2 linked regions of the Xenopus tropicalis genome follow. The protein of the gene in region 2 interacts with the protein of the main gene of each other region in a pairwise test. Links are inferred from orthologs where the notes say so. Each region holds a gene or a part of one and is shown on either strand. Other genes may lie near its edges.

Region 1 (7,647 bases), on a different chromosome or scaffold from region 2:
TGCCTGTGTGTGCCATACTCTACCTGCCCTATGCTGGCTGTATGTGCCATACTCTGCCTACAGTACCTATGTCTGAGGTGTGAAGAAGTGAACAATGGGAGTGACTACAGTCTGAGCCTGAGGTGTAAACACTGCAGGGGTTGAACAATGCAGAAACTAAAAGGTGTGAAAAACATAGGGGATTACATTTTTAAACAATACAGATGGATTACAGCCTGAATCTGAGGTGAGAACCATGCAGGGGGCCAGTTAATCTCAGTACTGATACCATTTAATGCTTACTCAAAGGTAAGCCATCAAAGCAGCCAGACAGGTGGGGGGCCACACAGAGGGGGGTCGCAGGCCGCCAGTTGGACAGCACTGTTATAGAGCATCCAGTTCAAAGCAACTTTTCAATTGGTCTTCATTATTTATGTTATACTTTTTGATTTGCTGCCTTCTTCCAAACTCAGTTTTTAAATGGGGGTTACTGACCGCAGCAGTCAAAAAGCTGTTGCTCTGTAAGGCTACAGTTTTGTTACTTTATAACACATTTATATTCAGGTCCTCTCCTGTTCATATACCAGTCTCTCATCCATACCACTCCATGGTTGCTAAGGTAACTTGGACCCTAGCAAACAAATAGCCCCTGAATTAAAATGAACTAAAAAACTACAAATACAAAATGAAGACCAATTACAAAGTGTCTCAGAATATCACTCTCTAACATCACACTAAAATTTAACTCAAAGGTGATCAACCCCTTTAGGGCCACAACAAATCTCCATTGCCACGGGCAACTAATCTCCCCGCTATGCCATCCCACCGGCTAGAATTTAAATCACCGCTGGGATTGCATACGCGGCGCTGAAGTTTCCTCTCAAGGCAACTTCAGCAAATTGCGGTGCCGCTTATTCCATCCCACTGGCGATTTAGAAATTTGTTGTGGCGCGACTAATCTCCCCTACACACAGTAACACACAAGAGCACTTTATGAGGTAAGCCACATGGTCTGAGACAAAGATGAAAGATGTAATAACCATTAATCTCATATATTCTTCCCAAGTAAGGGGGTGTAAAACACAAGGTTTTAATGACATAGGAACATTGTTTACACTGCAAACATTCCCTTCCATATTGGTGCCAGGGTCTGTTGTTGTGGGAACCAAACTGGATCCTAGATCTGCTTTCACTAATCAATCTGTTAAAGAGGATTTTTAAGTTCCTCCAGCTCTGGCTCCCCCATGTTTATTTATAATATAGTGAATTCTTATCACAGGAAGCACATTCCATTTATATGTACATATCCCACCAGGATCTTTTCTTTAGGCGCATGTCAATTAGAGGAGGAGGAAAGGTAAAAATTAAGTAAGCTTTATCAGAAAGGTCTAAGTAAATACAGCCATAAGAACTCACAGAAATGCTGTCCTCAATCAAAGGAAACACAGGATTTCTGGTGTCTTATTTTATACACATGTTGTTCTGGTGTCTGACTCCATCTCAGAAAAATCCCCTGGGCCAGAATCTGCAGCTAGAAAGCTACTGAAAATGGCAGTTGCTATCTTCAACTTTAGAAGCTTTCTCTGTTTGCTTTTTACTCCGGTATGGTCACACACGAAAAAAAAAAAACATAGCATTGTCAGGACTTAAGATTCTAGAAAAGCTTTAGTCAACATTTCAGCTCAAACATGAGCCTTAATGAAGTCTCATGTTTGAAATTAAACATTGAATAAAGCTTTTCTAGAAATTTTCCAGAAGTCCTGAGAATGCTGTTATATTATATGTTTGAGTTACATGAAACAAGGATTAGTATTCTATAAGACTGTACAGCGCTTGTGGTGCTTTATAAATAAAATTATACATACATTAGCAGCACAAAAAATAAAATACCACCCCAGTTGCCACTCCTAACACTTATGAACATAACTGGTATCTGCCCAGAAAGCAGCCCAGTTTGGCACGGTACAAGGGTAGCCAATTGGGCAGAGAAAAGTGTGTGGCTATCTTAAGGACTATCCCAAAATTTAAGATTACTTGTATTCCTAGTATGCACCACGCACGATTTTAACCACACAGCAAAACGATAAAACAGCTTTATTTGTACAAACTTCTGTTAAGTTAAGCATATATTACAGCATACATGTACAGCACACAACATGCAAATGGAATAGGAAAGGGTGTGGGGGGAGGGGGTGGTCAGATGTCTTTTTCTCGGACTTGCTTCTGGTACTGCTCGTGGAGATGCTTCTTGTAAGCTGGAAAAAATAAAGTACAGCGTCAAAGCCATGTACACCATCCCAATACATCTACTGCAGCAACTGTTCCAAAATACTGAACTGAATACTTAAGCTGGCCATACACGCACAGATATTGTACAAAACCGTGTTTGTCGTGTGTATGGTTGATTGACGAGACTACCAATATCACAAAAGCTTTGGATGTTGGTCATCTCTCCAATCAGCAGGACAAAAGATTGATTGGGCACCCGAGCAAAATATGCATTTAGGGCTGAATTGTTTCTGCCTCCATATCTTACAATTCAGCCCTGATCATCAACGGAGGGTAATTTTAAGGTGTAAAGGCCACCATTAGTATGGGAAGTGCCTCCCTTCCAGTGCTAATCACACCACTCTATCCATAAAGCATATTGCAAATAGGTTGTAGAGTACATGCAGTCACACAACTTAAAGATCTGCTCATTTGGCAAAGTCACCAAAAGGCAGATATTTGCCACCTTGTGCAGGCCAATATGGGGCTCATTATATTTCACGAATGTCGCAGGATAGATGGGGGTGGTTATGACTAATGGCAGCACTTACCTGTCTGATTCTGCCACAGTTCTGCTGCATATGGGTTCAAGGGACTCTCATTATTGGGCTCTGGTGAGAGAAGAAAAAAAAAAAAAAAAAATATGTTAGGCACAACCAGTGAATCCACGTACCAGAGACCCCAGGCTAATAGCACTATTTACTAAATACTGAACTCTCATGTTGTGATCTTTTGGGTCCTATCTACAGCCTGGCCTGGGTGTGCAACAGTGTGAAAAGCAGCAGCCAAGAACATTGTGTCATGTGGTCCTACAGTATTACCCTGATGCAGTTCTCAGAACCAATACAGGTAGAATTTGTTGTGGTGGAAAATGCAAATGACTGGTACCATCATTCCCAATGGATGTTTAAAGGGGACCTGTCACCCACACAAAAAGCTCTATAAAAAAGCCCATTGCAAATTAAACATGAAAACTCACATCCTGTTATAAAATGTATTTAAATATCTAAGCTGTCAATCATTGCTTGCCCCCCTCTATGCCTCAGGTGTATTCATTTGTGATATTTAACATGCATGCATTTCTCCAGTTATTTCATTATATCCAAAGGTTTGCTAAAGCATGATCTTTCCAGAAGACCAATGCCGTAATAAAGCCTGAAAACAACAGTTTCAAGTAAGCAATGTTTTTGATTTGTCCAGGTGTTGAATAAGTGATATTCTACAATGTTCTATATATTATAGGCTAAAGGGTGTTTCACTCACCTCCCAGCAAGCTCTGTAATGAGAGAAGAATTGTTCGGACATCATAAAGTGCAGACCATTTGTCTTTCAGGATGTCCAGACAGATGTTTCCATGACTATCTACATTTGGATGGAAGCATGGTGTAACAAATTTCACAGTGGGAGCATTGTAAGGGTAGCCACTAGGGAATTCCAGGGACAGCTTATAGCGCAGGCTCTCATATACCTACAAAAATTGAGAAATTTTATTAGCGCAGAATATCCAACATAAGACTCCTTAATATACCTCAACAAGATAATTCAGTCATTGCTTTTAACTTTTAAATTAATGGAAAGCAGCTGATGAGAGGCAAGAACTGTGGATTGCGTGCAAAGTCTACAGCACACTACCTCTGCCTGGTAGGTATTAGTTGTTTCTACATTCCTTGGCAATCACCATTTGGCAGGGCTTCATCTGCGAATGCATGGAAAGCAACTAAGGAAGGCAAGGGTTTTGATCAGGTGTCCCTGAAAGGGCAGCAGCTTTCAAAATGTGTCATGAAGCCTTACCGTGCCGACTGCGCCATCAATGGTTCCAATCCACTTAAATAGGTTATCAGACTCCGGGAATGCAGAAATTCCCTTATCCCCAGACATCTAGGGGAGAAAAAACATACAAGATCAAGTTTCCTAAAACCCTCAACAGCTTATTAAAAGGGGAATTCCACCCATACAAAACAAGCTTTTTAAAAAGTAAACAATTTCAAGCAACTTTGCAATATAGATCAACTTAAAACACAGCAGTTTCATGAATTTTAATGTAACATGGTTTGGAATGGCTCCATAAGCCTTGCCCCCTGTTCTCCTAATGATCTGGCAGACAAATGTGAGATTTAAATAAAACAGTAGTTGACTCTCCACCGCCTGCATCCTCTAAATCCCACAATTCCCTGCAAACATGTCATTAAGGAAAGGAACGCCACGGTGCAATGCATTGTGGATTATGTAGTTTCCACATGCTGTCTGTAAAATTTGGAAAGTTGTTACAATTTGTAACATCAATGTTTTAGTCCCTTCTCCCCTGCCAGGATTTCAAATGATGCAAGGAACTGTTTTGCAGATGGCTTTCAGCATATAAAAGTTATATTCATTTTTTGAAGGAACATATTACAGTGATATATATTAAGAGTTTTGGTGTTGTGTGTGGCTCTTACAAAACTTTGGTTGGTAAGTCAGAATTTCCCTTTAAAAAGTATAAAGCACAAGTACTATCCTCATTGTATGCACATAAAGTTTACACTCACCATTAAGGTCATCAGCTCCTGCTGTAACCTACGAGAGAAGAAAGAAAATAGGTGGGCACTTAAGCTTTGCTACAAATCACACTCACAATAAGAATTTGCTATGGGTGTGGCAGTCTTTGGCAGGCAATCTTTTCATGCATGGCCCTCTAAGAACAGCAGATCCCGGCAGAAGGGAAGAAGAGTCACTAGACATTAGGCTTTTTGAATGTTAATAACTTACTTGTTAAGCCCAAAATAATGGAGACAGATGCTAGCATTCGCCATGGAGGGATAAAGGCAGCATTATGGACAGCAGCAATAAATAATGGATGCCTCACGGTACAATATTTATGGCTATTGACAATAAGTATACATAATTGATAGGCTTCCTTAAGTAACTGGTAGTAAAAATAAGGGGCAAAGAGTAATTTTGCTAATAAAATTATAGCAATGGCAAAAGGACTAAGTGATTTAGAATTGGAATATTATGGTCATAGACAATATGGGTAAATAATGGATATCTACCAGCTGAGATGTTATGCTTCACTTGGTATTAATGTGCTTTATATGAATATAGGGGAGATTTATCAATTGGTTCTGTTGCACATAGAGGGACAAGTTAACCCTCTAACTAGTCACCATTGGTTTGATCTACATTTTCTCAACCTAATAGCCAAGTTTTTTTTTTTTTTTTTTAAACACAATACATACCTTATCCCTGTTTGGGCTTTAAACTATTCTGGCCAGCTGAACTTGCGGCCACCATATTGCCTTCCATTACATCTTAAAGAAGCTGTCCATCTTTGAGTTAACTTTAAGTATAATGTAGATAGTAATATTCTGAGAATTAAAAATGAAGACCAATTGCAAATTTGTAGATTATTTCAGCTTTTGCTTTTCAGCTTGGAGTTTCAGCAGCTATTTGGTTGCTAGGATACAAATTACCTTAGCAGCCAGGGTGTGATTTGAATGAAAGACTGATTTGAAAAGGAGAACACCTGAATAGAGAAATATAATCTGACAACAACAATTAAACTGTAGCTTCACAGAGCAATAGTTTTTTGGTTGCTGGGGTCAGTGACCCCTATTTGAAAGCTGCAAAGAGTTGGAAGGCAAAAGCTATAAAAAAAAATAAATGAAGACCACTTGAAAAGCTGCTTATAATTTGCCTTTCTATAACATACTAGAAATGAACTTAAATATTTAGCCAATTTAGCCATTTCTGCGCAGTAGCAGGCAGCTGGGGAAGTGGGAGAAGACAGAACCATCACTGGAGAAAACAAAGATTGCAGATCGGTGCAATCACAATCAGCAGGCAGCTATAGCAACCATAAACTAAGGTTGCCATTTGCTGATGGTTTTATACAGGGAAGGGAATCTGGAGGTCAACAGTGACACGCACTCTAATGAACAAAATCTCCAGTTCCTCTTCTGTGCATGCTCCACCAGGCTGATGATAATATTGACTCATTGCGTGAGTCCTATGTGAAGGCTTGGGCTCCAATGCTCATGTGTCCAAGGCTTTCACCAATGAACAGCATGGGCGGGTACGTCCACCTTTGCCGAAGCTAGTGTGAGACCCATCAGGTCTTGGCCTGGGGTCAAACCCAGAGGACTATGACACCAATCCATGGTGCACAAATCAAACAAGACAGGTGCTGAAGTGTGCGAGTGCAATGCCATGGATTGCCTTGGTAAGGCTCCAGCTGGCGGCCAAAAAGAAAAATGCCTCCCGCCGTCCTAATTGCCAGGGCAAATTAAGTTAAGCATAATTAAGCAGAAGGTGCATGTGCAAAGTCCCCAACTAAAATATGTCAGGCATTCCCTTATGGGAACACAGCTCCTCTGCTTTCATCAAGCTTCCGCCTGACAACCTAAAGGCCAGAGGACCAAGTGTTTCTCATTTCGATACTACACTTTGTTAGCCAAAAGGTCGTCCAGTCCGATAGACTGACCCATCTCAAAAAGGTGTGTGGCCACCTTTAGACATATGATTTTATTATTCTAGATTTAGACCAGAATCCTTTACCCCAAACACCCTCTGGCTACAGGACCATGACTGCAACCCCCCCCCCCCACCCCAGTGAATGGCACACCAAGTCAGTGCATTATCAATGTCTGATCCAGTTTCAGACAGTCTGAAGGCCCCATACATAGGCAGATAAGCTACAGACTAGGTCTGAAGTGGCCAAATTAGCAGCTGAAGTCTGCCTGGGATGGCATGTAAAATAACACTACCTTTGTTTAAGGCTTTAAGCAATTACAGCCATTGGGTGGGGGTGTCTTACATATTGCCTACCCCCCTCCCCAAGTCAATGGTGCTTTCCTTAATGGCCACACTTGCAGCAGAGTTGCCAGGTTGGTGTTTCTGCAAAATTGGGCTACCAATTTAAAGCCCTGGCAGGTTTCCAAGGTACAAACCCACCAAGGAACAGTTTGGGGCTATTTTTTGGAGCCTTAATCTACAGTTAGGATTAATATAAAACTACAATACCCAGCATGCAATTGGACAGTATAGATAGAGGCTCTGTTTTGTATTCCTTTTTGCTCTTTCAGGGTCAACCTGTATATTCTGCAACCTGCTCTATAGGGTATGTGATTGTACTATTACTTTCTGCTGTGATGTGGGGGCAGTTCTGCAGTTGATCATTAAGATATAACTCTCCGGATATCTTGGGACTGCTGAGAGTTGTAGTTCAGCACACCCATATGTATCTCATGTCTGGGGTTAATGCAACATTCGGAATCTAATTTTGTAGTCTTCCCAGCTGGACTGGGCACAGAGGTCAGGGAATTATCAGCATTCCCAGTAACTGGGTAGTGATTATACGCTTTAAAAAGGCATGTTTCCCATATATACTTGCACATTTTGGCCTATTTTTGGGCTACTTTCAGA
Region 2 (6,879 bases):
GAGCCAAGGAAAGAGCCAGAGGAGGTACCAGATGGATCGGGCACCAAACTGGACCCAGGTGGCAGCACCTCCATGCCAGCCAAGGGCTTCTCCATACTCAAAGAGCGCTCCTTCGACGTCAACTTCGAAGTTGGGGACGAGTACGAGATCATCGAAACCATCGGCGTCGGCGCTTACGGGGTGGTGTCCTCGGCCAGGCGGAAAGGCTGTGGTGAGAACCTTGTGGCCTAATGAAATACACTGCCGTCTCTTCAGCCCAGCAAGGGGGGCTTTTGTTGCAATCGCCCCTTGTATAAAGAAACATACATAGTGCTGGGAATCCGCATTCTCATTGGTCAATTCTCTTGCATCTATAATTAAGTTTTCGGTCTTATTGGTGAATTGGTTTCCATGTGTAATTACGTTCTTCATCAACTTCTGTAGGGAACTAGGGGGCGCAGTGGGACAGCTTTACGGTTGGGTTTAGTTTCCCTTTAATGTTTATTATATGACACTGTATTCAGCACTTGTATAATGACCCCTGTTTGTTACCCCCCCAGGGCAAAGGGTCGCCATTAAGAAAATCCCCAACGCCTTCGACGTGGTTACGAACGCCAAGCGCACCCTGCGGGAACTTAAGATCCTGAAGCATTTCAAGCACGACAACATCATTGCCATAAAGGACATCTTAAAGCCGTCTGTGCCTTACAACGACTTCAGATCTGTGTAGGGGCCTTTTTATTATGTGCTGCTTGGGGGCAGTGACGTAGTGGGAGGGCCTTATGACCTGTACATCACATGACCAGCAAACTACTTGGTAGGAGGAGACAGAGTTTTTTCTTTTATAGCCTGCCGTAGGGGAGGTTGAACAGGGCCGCCATCAGAAATCACAGGGCCCCTCACAACAAAATTTTCTGGGCCCTCCTCCTCCCACACCCCGACCCTCAATGGCCCCTCTCATCTGTACAAAGGACACAGACATTGGTAGCCAGGGACCCCCTAATACATTGATAGCCAACCCAGGGCCCCCTAAAACATTGCTGGTCCTCCCCCAGTGTCCTCATACTATGGCCCTCCCCCCATTGCATCCTGTTCCCCCTACATCCTCCAGCTTTTCCCCCAGCATCCTCCAGCTTCTCCCCCAGCATCCTCCAGCTTCTCCCCCAGCATCCTCCAGCTTCTCCCCCAGCATCCTCCAGCTTCCCCCCAGCATCCTCCAGCTCCTCCCCAGCATCCTCCAGCTTTCCCCCCCAGCATCCTCCAGCTTTCCCCCCCAGCATCCTCCAGCTTTCCCCCTCAGCATCCTCCAGCTCCCCCCTAGCCACCAATGACAGGGCCCGTAATTCTTTAAATGGGGCCCGAGCTTAAAAACTGTATCACAGCTGGGCCCCCTTTAAAGCGAAAGATCGCCCGGGACACCAGTCCCCCCTGTGCCCCCCTGATGGCGGCCCTGAGGCTGAATGTAGGGAGTAATAAACTGACAACTTAGTTCCCATAGAAATATCTCCTCCATAATAATAGTCAAGCAATTTGGTAAGTCACACATATTTTAATGCCGGTGCTACCAGTAATATAAAATGCACCAATCATGTTCAGTATTCTCCATACCATATAGTTAGGGGGGTTTGTTATGTATATGAGGATCAAGATTCTATAACCTGTTTCCATTTCAGATATGTGGTGTTGGACCTTATGGAGAGCGATTTGCACCAAATCATCCACTCGTCGCAGCCACTTACCCTCGAACACGCCCGCTACTTCCTGTACCAGCTTCTGCGCGGCCTGAAATACATCCACTCGGCCAATGTTTTGCACCGGGACCTGAAGCCCAGCAACCTTCTGATTAACGAGAACTGTGAGCTGAAGATCGGGGATTTCGGAATGGCCCGGGGGCTCTGCACCAAGCCGGACGAGTACAAGTATTTCATGACCGAGTATGTGGCCACTCGGTGGTATCGGCCCCCTGAACTGATGTTGTCTCTCCACGAGTACACGCAGGCCATTGATATGTGGTCTGTGGGGTGCATATTTGCTGAAATGTTGGGACGTAAGCCTCTCTTTCCAGGCAAAAACTACCTCCACCAGCTACATCTCATCATGACTGTGCTGGGCACACCCTCCAGTCAGGTGATCCGAGCCATTGGGGCGGAGAGAGTGAGGGCTTATATCCAAAGTCTTCCCTCGCGCCAACCAGTGCCTTGGGCAACCCTCTACCCCCAAGCTGGCAAGAAGGCTCTGGATCTGCTGTCAAAAATGCTACGTTTTGACCCACGTGACCGCATTTCCGTAGCAGAGGCACTTCGGCACCCTTTCCTGTCCAAATATCACGACCCCGACGACGAACCAGAATGCGTCCCGGCCTTTGATTTTGGATTCGATAAAAAGATTCTCACAAAGGACCAAATAAAAGAGGCTATAACGGCGGAGATAGACGGCTTTCACCGTAGAAGGGAGGGCATACGACGGCAGATCAGCTTTAAACCAGCACTCAGACCAGCCGTGGAAGGGCCCATCGGGGACGGACCTATTCAAGAAGATGCCTTCCAATCGCCACCACTACCCCCACCCACCGAGGGATTGGATATAGAGATGCCCAGTGCCAATTCGGCTCGGGACAAGGCAGATTTCCCAATGGAGTCTCCCCGGGTTGCAGAGAACACAGAGACCATCGATCTCACCTCTCCTGTGGAGAAGGAAGAGACAGAGGTGCTGGGGGACGATCATGAAGGCAAAGAAGAAACCCTAGTGGTTAAAGCTGAACCGGAGCCCTTGCCAAAGCGAGAAGGGGCAATATCGGAGGATACTAAAGCAGCGCTTAAGGCCGCTCTCTTGAAGTCAGCTTTACGGAACAAGAGTAAAGGTAATAAGTGGGACGGGTCTTATGTTTAAGTCATTTGGAAAACAGACAAAGTTTGACTTGGCCATACACGATACAAGTATGATCTTCACTAACATTCAGGGCTCAATCGTCCGATATGGAGGTAGAAACAATAGGAATTTGACCCCCTATCTGATGGTTCAACCCTAAACACTTGCCTTTGTTTGGGCGCCTTCAATCGACGACCTATATCCCAAGGATTTTGCGATATTGGTTGCCTCGTCAATCCACCATACGAAACCTCATTCCATATAATAATATTGGTGTGACCCCCGACCCTAACCCATCCGTTCCTAACCCTACCCTACCCTAATTCACAAACCGGAAGAGGACACCGGCAGTATTAGGTCATGGGGCGGGGAGGACGAGTGGAAGAGCTCACCCCAAACCCACCCACGACCTGCAAGTGATGTTCCGAGGTCGGCCTGAACCCGCACATCACTAGCGTGTATGGCCAGCTTTACTCTTCCTAAATTAGCCCCAAACGCTAACGTGCTTTTTTTTCCCCCCAGATGCACCCACTTCCGTCCCTGAGGTTCCCGAAACCCGGAAACCAGTCACGGCTCAGGAGCGACAGCGGGAGCGGGAGGAGAAGCGAAGGCGGCGCCACGAACGCGCCAGGGAGCGGGAGAAAAAGCAGAAAGAGAAGGAGCGTCGGGAAGTGAAGAAGATAGAAGGCTTCGGAGGCCTGGTGCTGAGCGAGAACGATAAGAATTTGTTGGAACGCTGGAGTCGAATGGTCGACCAGACCCAGCTGCAGCCGGCCGTTCCTCCTGCTCAGATAACCGGGCCCGGTCATTCCAATTCAGCCGTTAACATTTGCACCGTGGCTCAGCCGCTGCAGCAGTCTGTGTTTGGTGTGGCCAACTTAGCTCCTCTTATAGAGGTTGGGAGGCAACAGAACGGTACTATTGCTGCCCCAGCGGTACCGCCTACCATCCAGTTCATTCCGAGGTGTCTGAACCCTTGCGCCGTGACCAACCTGCTCCATTATGTCCCGCCCTCCTCTGCGGGCTTTCAGATTAGTTCCGTTATGCTGACCGCCCAAGCGAAGCAAGACTCCAATCCCATAGCTGCCCAGCTGCCGGCCGATGTCTCATTCGTTAGCAGAGGACAAGTCCTGACCAATAACTTTCCCACGCCCCCACGAATGAATCCCCCTTGGCCCCGGTGTGTAGCTCAGGAGGGCTGGTCTGGGGCAAACAGAGTGGATTGCAAGAGCGTGGACACTTCCCTCTTCCTCCATAAGCCCCCCGACCTCCAACAGCCACAGGGAGGAGTCCCAGGACTTGCATATTCTAATGGATCCGTCTTCCAGAACCCGGAACAGCACAAAAGTTTCCCACCTCTTCCGCCCACGTCGTACAGCAGCGCCAACGCCCCCCAGGCAACATCTCCAGACATCAACTTGGTGACTCAGCAACTTTCCAAATCCCAGGTCAGATCATCGCAACTTTATTCTTACTAAACCCAACCGTAAAGCTGCCCCACTGCGCCCCCTAGCTCTCTGAAAAACGTAATTACACATGGAAACCAATTCACCAATGAGAATTCTACTGACCCAAAACTTAATTATAGATGCAAGAGAAGTGACCAATGAGAATGCTGATTCCCAGCACTGTGTCAGGCCCCTTGCTGGTACCTTACATATAGAGATAATGATGTCATTTTCCCGTCATTATATGGCACAGGAATCAGACATGGGGATAAAGGGACAGACTTGTTCAGTGCTGGGAAACTGTGCTTAATGCTCCCAACTCCAATTGCAGGAACAGAGAACAGGGAGCCGGATTTATACAGATCAGCTGGGATTCTCATTGGAGGATTCTTTTGCATTTCAATGCTGCCAATGCGGGCCCTAGAGAGCTGGGAAAGTTTTATTGTGCAATATTGCTTTAAGAATACAACCCTGATGTTGCTGGACTACAGCTCCCAGAATGCCTCACCCTTCATTATATGTTACATTATTCTGGGATTTGTAGTCCGTTTAGTAACGTTTGCATCTCTGCCATATTCCTCATAATCCCAACCCAAAGCCCCTCCTATCAGGGTGCTCTATACTATGATTGGACCCCATTTCGGGTAGTAGCTGCCATACCTGTAACGTATTCTTCACACTCTGACCCTTTTAGGTTGAAGATATCCTTCCTCCAGTTTTCTCGGTCACTCCGAAAGGAAGCGGAGCCGGGTACGGAGTGGGGTTCGATCTGGAAGAATTTCTCAATCAGTCCTTTGATATGGCAGCAGAGAACCGGGAAAGGTACCGAGACCTGATTTGTTTGGATCCCGTCCCCCCCCCCCCATCTTTGTCTGTATGATTTACTTTGCCTACTTCCAAGCCTCTTTAAATATTTGCCACTCTGGTTGTTTAAAGGTTAATACTTAGGCTGCAGCACCCCTTATTCCCTCCTCTGCCCCCTCCATTAGGAACTGACTTTGGCTCTTGGCTACTGAGCATGCTCAGTTCTTTCAACTCAGGTTACTAAACACACCCTCCAGCCTAGCAGCCAATGAAAAGCTGGCACGGCTGGTTTCCATTGAATCTGCTCTAGCTGTCCTAATCTCCTCTCCAGAGCTCAGCTTAACCATTACAGTGCTGAGACAAAGCAGATATTTTTATCAGAGCAAGTTCTGCCTGTGTAAGCCTGCATTCTTAACTGATAATGTGTCAGAGGGAAAATGGTCGCCGGGTGAAAGCTGCTATATGTTATAGGAAAATGTGATGGTACTGGTGAACGGAGGGGATATATACAGTATAACTGGTGTAGTTTGGGTGGGGGTGGGGTTGCCTGTAGTTGCCATCCTATTAAAGGGCTTGTTCACCTTTGAGTTCGTTTTTACTATGATGTAGAGTAAAATTCTGAGACAGTTTTCAGTTGGTCTTCATTATTTATTGTTTGTAGTTTAGCAAATATTTCAGTTTTTGTTCAGCAGTTTTCCCGTTTTGGCATTTTTAGCAGCAATCTGGTTGCTTGGATCCAAATGACCTTAGCAACCAGGGTGTGGTTTGAATACAATACTGATATATGAATAAGGAGAGGGCCCGAATAGAAAAATAAGTACTGAAAAGTAGCAATAAACAATTTAGTGTAGTTCCAAAGGAATAGTTGAACCACCCCATAAACACTAAAGCCCCAGGTGGCAGTTCTATGTGGCACTTAGATCTATAGATGCTTTATACTGCAGACTGACATTGAGCCGACGCACAGCAGTAGTGCCTTCTCTGTCTTCTCTAATAAACTCCCGCTTTATCCCTTTTCAGCCACGTGGACTCCGCCCCCCTTTCTGCGTCGCTACTGGCCGACTGGCTGGACATTCACAGCATGAACCCGGCGGACATGGCTTCCCTACAGGAGGATCTGCAGCTGGGCTCCCCCATGAGTCTCTCCGACATCCCCGACCTACAGGACACCTAACACGGGGGGAATACAAGGAACCCCTGCACTCTCAGTCACTTGGTTGGACCCGGAGAGCGTGTGGATGTTTGGGCCAATCATACAGCGTCTTCCAGAACTTGCCAATAAACAGTCGGAAAAGACTTGCCAGTGTTTTGTAACCCTGTAAGTGCCAAAATCCAACTTGTCCGTTAGTCCGTGTCGGCGCTGGATGTGAGTGAAACAGAACCAGCCTGGGATTGGCTCCCAGTTCTGTAATAAAAGGATCATGTGACCTCTGCGCTTCATCGTCATTGGTTAGATCGATATTGGAGAAAACACGATGCTCTTGTCCTTTTCTTACTTGGTACCGATACCGACCCGACAGCCCATAATCCCACCCACCCAATGGGCTTCATGTACTGACCTTGCAGTGCATCTTATTCATGGATGGGGCAGAACCCTATTAACCCTTTGAATGAACGTTTAGTATGATGTAGAGAGTGCCTCTGCCGAGACAACTTGCAATTGGTCGTCATTTTTTATTTTGAAATATTACAGCAGCTCTCCAGTTTGGAATCGCAGCAGCCTCGTGGTTGCTAGGGCTCTGTTTAACCTAGTAACCAGGCAGCGGCTTGTAAAGGGAAC

What was found.
Region 1: the proteins of mapk7 (region 2) and ube2c interact in binary tests that used the Homo sapiens proteins (3 or more experiments, as listed by UniProt). The two-hybrid records come from large-scale screens. The link is inferred for Xenopus tropicalis from reciprocal best matches to the Homo sapiens genes MAPK7 and UBE2C.

The regions. Positions count from the first base shown.
Region 1 is NC_030686.2:19,656,202-19,663,848, reverse strand, and holds the end of ube2c (ubiquitin-conjugating enzyme E2 C), read right to left. Parts: intron 4,801-7,647; coding exon 4,773-4,800; intron 4,126-4,772; coding exon 4,039-4,125; intron 3,716-4,038; coding exon 3,511-3,715; intron 2,859-3,510; coding exon 2,799-2,858; intron 2,235-2,798; coding exon 2,176-2,234; 3' UTR 2,059-2,175; downstream 1-2,058. UniProt on the Homo sapiens protein: Accepts ubiquitin from the E1 complex and catalyzes its covalent attachment to other proteins. In vitro catalyzes 'Lys-11'- and 'Lys-48'-linked polyubiquitination.
Region 2 is NC_030685.2:7,117,865-7,124,743, reverse strand, and holds part of mapk7 (mitogen-activated protein kinase 7), read left to right. Parts: coding exon 1-211; intron 212-539; coding exon 540-705; intron 706-1,652; coding exon 1,653-2,839; intron 2,840-3,369; coding exon 3,370-4,295; intron 4,296-4,989; coding exon 4,990-5,117; intron 5,118-6,119; coding exon 6,120-6,273; 3' UTR 6,274-6,879. UniProt on the Homo sapiens protein: Plays a role in various cellular processes such as proliferation, differentiation and cell survival. The upstream activator of MAPK7 is the MAPK kinase MAP2K5.